Linked DNA regions of Cricetulus griseus. The protein of the gene in region 2 binds, or shares a complex with, the protein of the main gene of each other region. Links are inferred from orthologs where the notes say so. Each region holds a gene or a part of one and is shown on either strand. Other genes may lie near its edges.

Region 1 (3,813 bases), on a different chromosome or scaffold from region 2:
GCATACTAGAAAATTCCCAGTATTGTACCGAATAGAATATGTTTGTCAATGTTTCAGCTGCATCCTTAGCTGACCTTAGCATGAAAAGTTTTGCCTCATTTAAATGTCCAAAATATCTCTCTCAAGCAAGCCAGGCATGAATAAACTTATCAACAAATACACAATGAATAAATAAAAGGACACCCATTTAAACTGCAATGTGATGGTTGAAGGCCATTTGTCTAAGGACTCTTCTAAATTCCTGAGTCTTTTTATGCTGTTAAATCACTAGTAAAAATCAGTTGAAGCCAGGCATGTTAGTGCTGTCTTTAATCCCAACACTCAGGAAGAAGAGGCAGGTAGATAAGTTTGAGGCCAGGCAAGTCTACAGAGTAGTTCCAGGACAGTAAGGGATGTTACACAGAGAAACCCTTTCTCAGAAAAACAAACAATCAAACAAACAATCAGTTGAAAGCATAGTATTCAAGACCTTGATTTTGATAGAGTGATTAATTTCATGATGGAAAACAAGAATTTTTTCAGGATTATTGCTAGTCTTCAATTCTTATACAGAGTAAGCCAATTGTAATGATGGAACTAATGAAGAATTAGAGGTTGTTCTTCAGAGAATCAGCAAAACTACCAAGCAGCCAGGGCAAGTCCTCCAGCAGTGCACTTGCTGAGCCCCAGCCTTTCACCACATCACAGGTACCAAAAGCTTCTCACTAACTTGACAAGTGTCATCACAAAATAACACTATTTATGTAAAACAAATGTCTGCTGAATAGGAATTACTACTACTTAGTTTGCCCTGTTCCACTTCATAATACGAGTAGGAACTGGCAGCAGTTGTTATGTATTTAATATCATCTGATTGAGCATTGGCCATAGAAAAGAACACAATTAATAAAACTGTAGTTGTCAACTCAGATCTCCTTCACCTATTTTTAATTATTATTTTAATAACTGCAATATATTGAAAAATATGCATTGTAGCTATTGTGACTATGTATCCCTTAAACTGAAATTACAAAGCCAGCCATTATACATTATTCTCCAAAATAACACATATTTGAAAATAATTTAATTTATTTCTTCAAAGATTTCTCAGATTGATAATTCCGCTTTACTATTCGGAGTTTAAAAGGTTGCTTTAAGAGCATTTAAAAATTGGATTTATCTAAAAAGCAAATTCTTCATTACTATCAATGAGCCTAATGAAGTAAGTTTCCCCTTTCTTAAGATGTAGATCTATGATTAATAAACCAAGAGCAAAAGCAAATTTAATGTCTAATTAATTTGGGCACTATGTAAAGACAGTAAGCACAGTCTAATAAAGTAGCCAGAACCTTAGTCAGAACTGCACAGAAACAGCAGATATGCTTGTCTAGAAAGCATGGAACCTTTGGAAAGCTGAGACACAGAGTTAGCCCTCCTTCATTATTTTTAAGTATGACAATATAAATAATATTCCCTTAGTCATTAATCGTATGTACTACTATACCTAACTATGTTGTTTTAAAATTGCAGATATAGGGAGCTGAAGAGATGACTCAGTGGTTAAAAGCACTGGCTGCTCCTCCAGAGGACCAGGGTTCAATTCCCAGCACACATGGCAGCCCACAATTGTCTGTAACTCCAGTTGTAGGAGATTCAAAACCCTCACACAGACACACATGCAGGCAAAGTACCAAGACACATAAAATAATAAATTAAGAATCATTAAACAACAACAATATAATAAAACAAAATTTCTAAGATATCTAAGAAAGAAAACAAATCACTTACTGAATAGCTAAAGGTAAAAGTATTGCTTTCTTTCTGAAATTCTGTATTTTCCCATATTTACTTTTGAGCAAGTCAGGATGCAATAGTCTAAAACTCTTTATCTCACTTCTTTCAAAATTGTTCATTCATGTTATTAACTGCAATACTTAAAGTATTTTAAATATTGAAGAGTACTTTTCACAATGTATTAAAAGAAATGCTTCATGAACTTTAAACCTGAAGCATTGTGAGCTGGTGAGATGGCTCAAAGAAAAATGCTTGCTAACAAGGATGAAGGACCAAGTTCCACCACCAGAGGCCTTGGGGAAGGAAAGAACTGATTCACAAAAGTTGTCCTCTTGGCCATCACATATGTGATTCAGCACACACACACACACACACACACTCATGCATGCATATGCACAGACACATCCATACATACAGAAAACACACATAGAATCGCATTTTACATATATTTGAGGCATATTAATGAGTGTACCAACTAATTTCTTGGTATTTATTTCCCGAAGTGCTCTAAGAATAATAGAACTGCTACTTGAATGTGAAACAAAATCCATCAATAAAATCAAATTTGTGGGAAGCTGTACTTACTGAGACATCTTTCAGTTCTTTCTCAAGGGAGAAATGGCACGACTCTCTAGAAAAGATGAATTTGTATGTGTCAGATCCTGATCCTGAAACCAATGCTTTTCTCAATTCATCAGCATATTTTTCTTTCTCCATAGCCATGTCATCAGCTTCTTGGGAAATCTCCGATTCAGAAACTATGGGAAAGATTAATAAAAATAATGAATAATAAGTTTCTATTGGAAAACAAGTACTTAGTTGTTACTACTACTTTATCAAATATAACAGGTTTTTGAAAAAATAATAAAATCAAAATGTTTCCCTGTGGCTTTTTAAAATACCTTTAGTGCTATTTGTCCCTTTTTCCTCCCTCTCCTGTTCTCTCTCTCTCTCTCTCTCTCTCTCTCTCTCTCTCTCTCTCTCTCTCTGTCTCTCTGTCTCTCTTCTCTCTCTCTCTACATATATATATATATATATATATAATAATATATATATATATATATATATATCTTCCCCTTCAGTATTTTCTCCTTTGCCCTTTTAATGCACTTCTTGTATCCTACAACAAGCTCTTTTTCTTCCTCTCCAATCATTACACCCCTTTACTTTCCCAACTTCTGTAGTTATGCCAAACTACATACGCAAATCTATGTATCCAGAGCTAGGAACTGTCCGTGTGTGTGTGTGTGTGTGTGTGTGTGTGTGTGTGTGTGTGTTTAATGGATTTATGCCACATGGATAATAACACTCCCTGCAGGAACAATTGATTACTAAACAATTACTCCAGAGCCAGGCAAGGAATGCCTTCAAACTGTTGGTCAAGGGACTTAGAGAAACACCAAACATAAGATACTTCCATTGTCCTTGGCTACACCCCTACAACTTTAGAGGAAGTCGATATTTCTGAAGATAACATACACTTCCCATACAGACCTTAAGGAATTGAACCAGTACTGACCTGAAAGCTTTCCCTCTGAGGATTAACACTCATAGTATCAGAAAATGCTATGCAACCTGACAACAGACAAATGTAATCAACAGTTCTATACAACTGGAAAGTCTACAAAGCAAAACAATACTTGGCCTGCTAAGATATCCCCAAAGGTTAAATAGTTCTTTTTATCTTGGTAATGGTAATAATCATCAGCCATCTATGGTGTACTCAATAAGATAGAAGTGATGCCTGGTACTGTAAACCTAGTCAACTATCAGAGGGTGGAGAAGACACAGACCCTCGAGTAGGACTGCTGTTTCCCTAAATCAATATAGAATCTAACTGTATGTTAAGTGTCTTTCTTTATTCTCAAAGATAAGTTTAGTTCTCAGCCCCCATCAAAGAAGCTTGGTTTTGCAATAGATGGAGGTTACTTCAAAGATCCCCAACTAATAAAACTGAAGAGAATGAGCAACTTTGAGGTCCTAAGCCCCAAATGGTATATCTACAACATAAAACCTCCTCCGAGGCTCAGGAAACAGCAT
Region 2 (4,508 bases):
TTTGATAATGAACTAACTAAATCCGAGTAATACATGAGAATGTTAAGGCAAGATGACGATTAATGAGATCACACCGGGTAGAAGGTCTGAGAATGAATCATCGGGAGGCTCATGAGGATTCTGTTTGCTCTCCACCCAGACACATAAATGGCTGCAGTATGATGACTTCCATCCAACTCTCTCTCACCTTTCTTCATTTTTTGCAAGGTTCCCATAACTTGGGTAGAATTTGGGCAATTACTGTACATCCTGCATTTACCAGAGGTCTCTCCTACAAATAAATCCTATCTCTGAGTGGAATAAAAAAGGCAGGGGTCATTCTTGTGTTGGAAAACCTGAACCCCAAGAAAAAGGTCACACAGGCAAAAGAGCTGACAATAGGACTTGGGGGTGGGGCTTTGCTCATGCCCAGTTTGGTACTCAAGCTCCCCATGCTGTCCAGGCTAAAGATGGGGCGCATGGTGTTGCTATAACAAGCGCAGAAGGCAGGCAGGGGCTCTGGGGTGGAAGGGTGTCACATACTGTGCAAGTCTAGTCACGGGGCCACTGCACAGTAACGTGCTGCAGGGTGATGAGCTAATCAATCCCAGGGAATAACTCTTTGCTGCCCTGGACAGCTGCACCAAGGACAAATACCCTCTGTTTTAAACGATGCTCTGGAGAAGAGCAGCTGTTCCTAGGATTATAGCAGAACTCTAGAACTGTCAAGTGTTTCATCGCCTATATTAAGCCCTGTGGGGGCAAAGCTAGGTGCAGCCTAGTTCTGGGTGGTACCTAGATGCTGGGGCAACTAAAAGCCCAAAGATAATTATAACATGGCCACAGTCATGGAAGTCAGAGGGAGGACTGAACTTCAGAAAGCGCAGACACACATAATCGGGCGGATGCTAACAGCTTCCCAGGGCCTCCAGACGGTCCCACACACAGCTACCCAGACAGCAACCCTTGCCACCTTGGCCTTCACAGGCAGTCCAGGCTGGCCCGAAAGGGTCACATTAGCTATGATACTGAGGCCCCAAGCCTAGGCCTCCCTGACTGCCATCCTCTTCCTCCTCAGCCACGGCCTGGTCAACCTCCAAAGTCCTCACTCTGCCTGTGATTCTGTCCTATCGCCTGGTTACCACCCACCCTGGTACAGAGCCAGCATTCCAATGTGACATCCCTTCCTCCTAACTCTTGTGCCAACCTGTTAGGGACGGGGTTCCTCTCAGATAGCCAAACCTTCATCCTCAGAATACACTGGGCTGGTCCTGAGATACTCTATTACTGTAGGGTGTGCCCATGTTCCCAAGTTTTTCTTATTCCATCCCCCTGCTGGCTCTCTGTTCACAACTCTTCTGCGACAGCCTCCCTACCAGTTCTATAACAACTACCATCCCTCCTCCTCGTCCTAGGAGAGCCTGTACCCTTTCTGGTCTTTCTTTCCCTGTTTGTTTAACTGTCCCACGCAATGCTCTCAGGTTCTGAGAGCATTGAGCCTTGAGCCTCTCAAATGGGACCAACATGAGACCTGGGCTTCCTTTAAGGGAAACCTTGGGCAGAAGCAGTCCCTTCCTCACTCACTCACTCCAATTTCACTTAATTTTCCTCCAAAATTAAAACTACATCCTTCACCTCAAGTGTGGAGTTTATATCCTGAAATTGCCCCAAGGTCTGAGGCGGGCCAGACACGACCCCACAGATGCAGTGCTCTCTCGGTCGGACACGTCTCCCTTTCATACCACACAACACCCCACAGTTATAGCAGAGTCATGCAAACACTACAGCCTGCATAAGACAGAGAGACATGCCCGAAGAAAAGCATGAATTCCCAGTGTTCTTCTAGAAAGCTTCTAGTCACAAGCCTGATGAGAACTGTCTGCGGCTTCTGGGGCCCCTGCATCCATCCATCCATCCATCCATCCATGCATCCATCCATCCACCCATGCATCCATCCAACTGCTGCCCCAGCAGGAGCCATGGTTGTTGGGCCCCGAGTTCTCCGGCCTGGGAACCCCCACTAACTCCCCGCCCAGCCGTGTTTATTATGTGTGGCATGTCTTGAACCTTGTCCCTACTTTCCTGGTCCCTACCTTCTCTTGTACTCGTCCCGCTCTCGCTTCACTTTGGCCAGCACGTTGTACAGAGCGCGGATCTCGGGGGTGATGGTGTCGATCTGAACGCCCACCCCGTCAGGGTGTACCCACGACAGGCCAGGCCCTTGCACCAGCGTGGGTTCCAGTCCCGGTCCAAGCCGGCGGGCGTGTGAATAGGACCAGATGGTGCCGGGCATGAAACGGGTCGACGAGGAGAAGGCGGTGGAGGTGGAGGTGGAGGTGGAGGTGGAGGATGACGACTGGCAGGCCGCAGAGGAAGCGAGGGGTCCGGCCGGCGAGCGGGCGGGGGAGCCCAGTACCCGCGCTGACGGGGGGCACACAGCGGCTGGCCGGGAGCTCAGGGGCAGCCCCAGGGGCCGGATCGGGCTGATGAAGCCGGTCTGTACCGCCTGGTCGCGGCGGGCCAGGCCCCGCCTGCCCTGCTTACCCTCCTCCAGAGCCTGCTGCAGCTGCTTCTCCAGCAGCCGGTTCCGGCGCTCTAGCTCGTGCACCTTGGCTAGGAAGCAGCGAAACCGGAGGTTCAGAGTCTTGAGCACGTTGATGTTGGAGCCCAGGTCGTTGCGGAGAGCCATGGCTGCAGGGGGAGCCGGACCAGGCCCAGGAGGCGAATAGGCAGCGGGGCCCACCGAGGCAAGCGGAGCCGGGGGCAGGTCCCCTCCCCCGGCAAAGTGGTCCCCTCCCAGAGGGTCCCCCAGCGGCCCGGCCAAGCCCTGCTGCTCCTGCTGTAGGAGGAAGAGATTGGGACCGAATAACGGATTCATGGCTGCGCCTTCTGCTGGGAGATGGAGACCAGTGCAGCGGAGGGCGAGCATAAGAGCCAATGAGGCGTCTGCCGGATACGAACAACCAATCAGACGTCCCGGGAGGAGGGCAGAGGTCGTGAGGGCGGGACTAGAGGAAGCCAATGAAAGATCCTAATTAGAGGCTTAGCCCTGGACCTTTCCGGGTCTGTGGAGTCAACACTAGAAGGAAGCCGACTAGCCCTTCCCCGGGGAACTAGCCACTGCCTACGATTCCAGGCCCTCTGGTACCTAAGGGGCACCAGCAGTGGAAAACTTCCCTTCATCCCTGCCATCTCCTTGTCCCCAGTACCCTAGATTTGATTCTGTGGTTTTTTCCCTAGGAGACCAAGAAATGGAAGGAGCCTATCATTGACCTATATTGAACCATCATTCAATTTTCCGGCAAGAGCATCGATCGCAGGCCCACCTTCCTACAAATTGACAATACCCAGCACCCTAAAACAACACAACAGTGATTAGGGGTGAAAATATGTATATTAAATTTCATATGTATGCACAGTGGGGAGACCATCATTGCAGGAAGTAAGAATTCCAATCCAGAGACAATGTGAGAACCAGCACAGTCTAGTTTCCAAGTCCGTCTAAGGCTGGCTGCTGCCCTTCTTCACAAATTTCCTCCTTTTCGTTGGTGGGGGTCTGGTGGAACCGTGGGGTGACCCAGTGGGGACCTGGGGTCCCTTGGGGGCATCATCCTCTTTTAGGGAGGCATTGGTCTTGGCAGGATGATCTGGTAACTGCTGCTTTGCTTTTTCAATCTTTTTGGTTTTCCCCAGGGAAAGACCACAGTCCTTAAGCCCTGGGGAAATCTCAGAGGGTGAAGGCACAACAGGTGTTTCCGAGTCCACACCCTTGGGAGGGGCTTTCTGCTTTGGGAGAGCAGCTTCCTTGGAGGACTTGGATTTGGGTCCCCTTTGCTTTAGCTTCCTAGCCATTTTTGGTTTCCTGATCACTGCGGCTTTTCCATCAGGCTGACTGCTCTCCTGGGGCCGGGCAGACACTTGGGCCTTTGGGACAGAAGGTGCAGTGGATTCTGCACCTAGCCCTTTGGAGACGCCATTCAGTTTCTGGAAGGGCTTTCTGGGATGCTGCTGTCTCCCCAGCTGCTGCTTTGCCTTTGCCGCCCCACCAGCTCCCTTGGTGGGCTGACCACTGTTCTCAGACAAGGGAGTGGCCTGATCCTTCAGCTCAGGCTCCGAAGGGATGGCTGCTGCCACATTTCCTGTGGTAAAGATTAAAGAGATAGTTTGACCATTAAGAAACAAGGAGTCTGTTGGGTGGTGGTGGGGCATGCCTTTAATTCCAGCACTAGGGAAGCAGAGGCGAGTGGCTCTGAGTTTGAGGCCAGGCTGGTCTACAGAGTGAGTTCCAGGACAGCCAGAGTAGAAAGACCCTGTCTTGAAAAACAAAAGAAAAAAGGAAGGAAGAAGAAATAAAGGAAAAAACAAGGAGGCTTATTTTGCCCCCTCTGGACCAAGAATCCCACACATTAGGATGTGCTAACAAAGTGCCCTGTTGTTAAAGGATCACTGCCTATTCTCAAGCCAAGATGTTTTCATAGGAAGCTGCGCCCCCTTGAGGGCAGTATGTAGCAAGAAACTCTAAGGAGAAG

Evidence for each region.
Region 1: the proteins of Iffo1 (region 2) and DNA repair protein XRCC4 are in contact, whole or in part, in a crystal structure (PDB 6ABO), measured with the Homo sapiens proteins. The link is inferred for Cricetulus griseus from reciprocal best matches to the Homo sapiens genes IFFO1 and XRCC4. Residues at the interface, in NP_001317253.1 of Homo sapiens: Arg469, Glu470, Tyr473, Ile477, Gln479, Ile480, Glu481, Glu483, Leu484, Ala487, Lys488, Asp490, Met491, Arg493, His494, Leu495, Tyr498, Met501, Lys505, Leu508, Asp509, Met512, Cys515, Arg516, Leu518, Ile519, Thr520, Gln521; in NP_001304941.1 of Homo sapiens: Trp155, Val158, Gln159, Phe162, Glu163, Cys165, Val166, Lys169, Glu170, Glu173, Leu176, Tyr177, Phe180, Val183, Leu184, Lys187, Lys188, Lys190, Ile191, Leu194, His195, Lys197, Leu198, Ala201, Ala202, Arg205, Glu212.

Annotation. Positions count from the first base shown.
Region 1 is NC_048595.1:308,960,651-308,964,463, forward strand, and holds part of DNA repair protein XRCC4, read right to left. Parts: intron 2,532-3,813; coding exon 2,359-2,531; intron 1-2,358.
Region 2 is NC_048601.1:21,280,785-21,285,292, forward strand, and holds the start of Iffo1 (intermediate filament family orphan 1), read right to left. Parts: upstream 2,898-4,508; 5' UTR 2,858-2,897; coding exon 2,073-2,857; intron 1-2,072. Other genes in the region: Nop2 (probable 28S rRNA (cytosine(4447)-C(5))-methyltransferase), read right to left, coding at 3,481-4,118. UniProt on the Homo sapiens protein: Nuclear matrix protein involved in the immobilization of broken DNA ends and the suppression of chromosome translocation during DNA double-strand breaks (DSBs).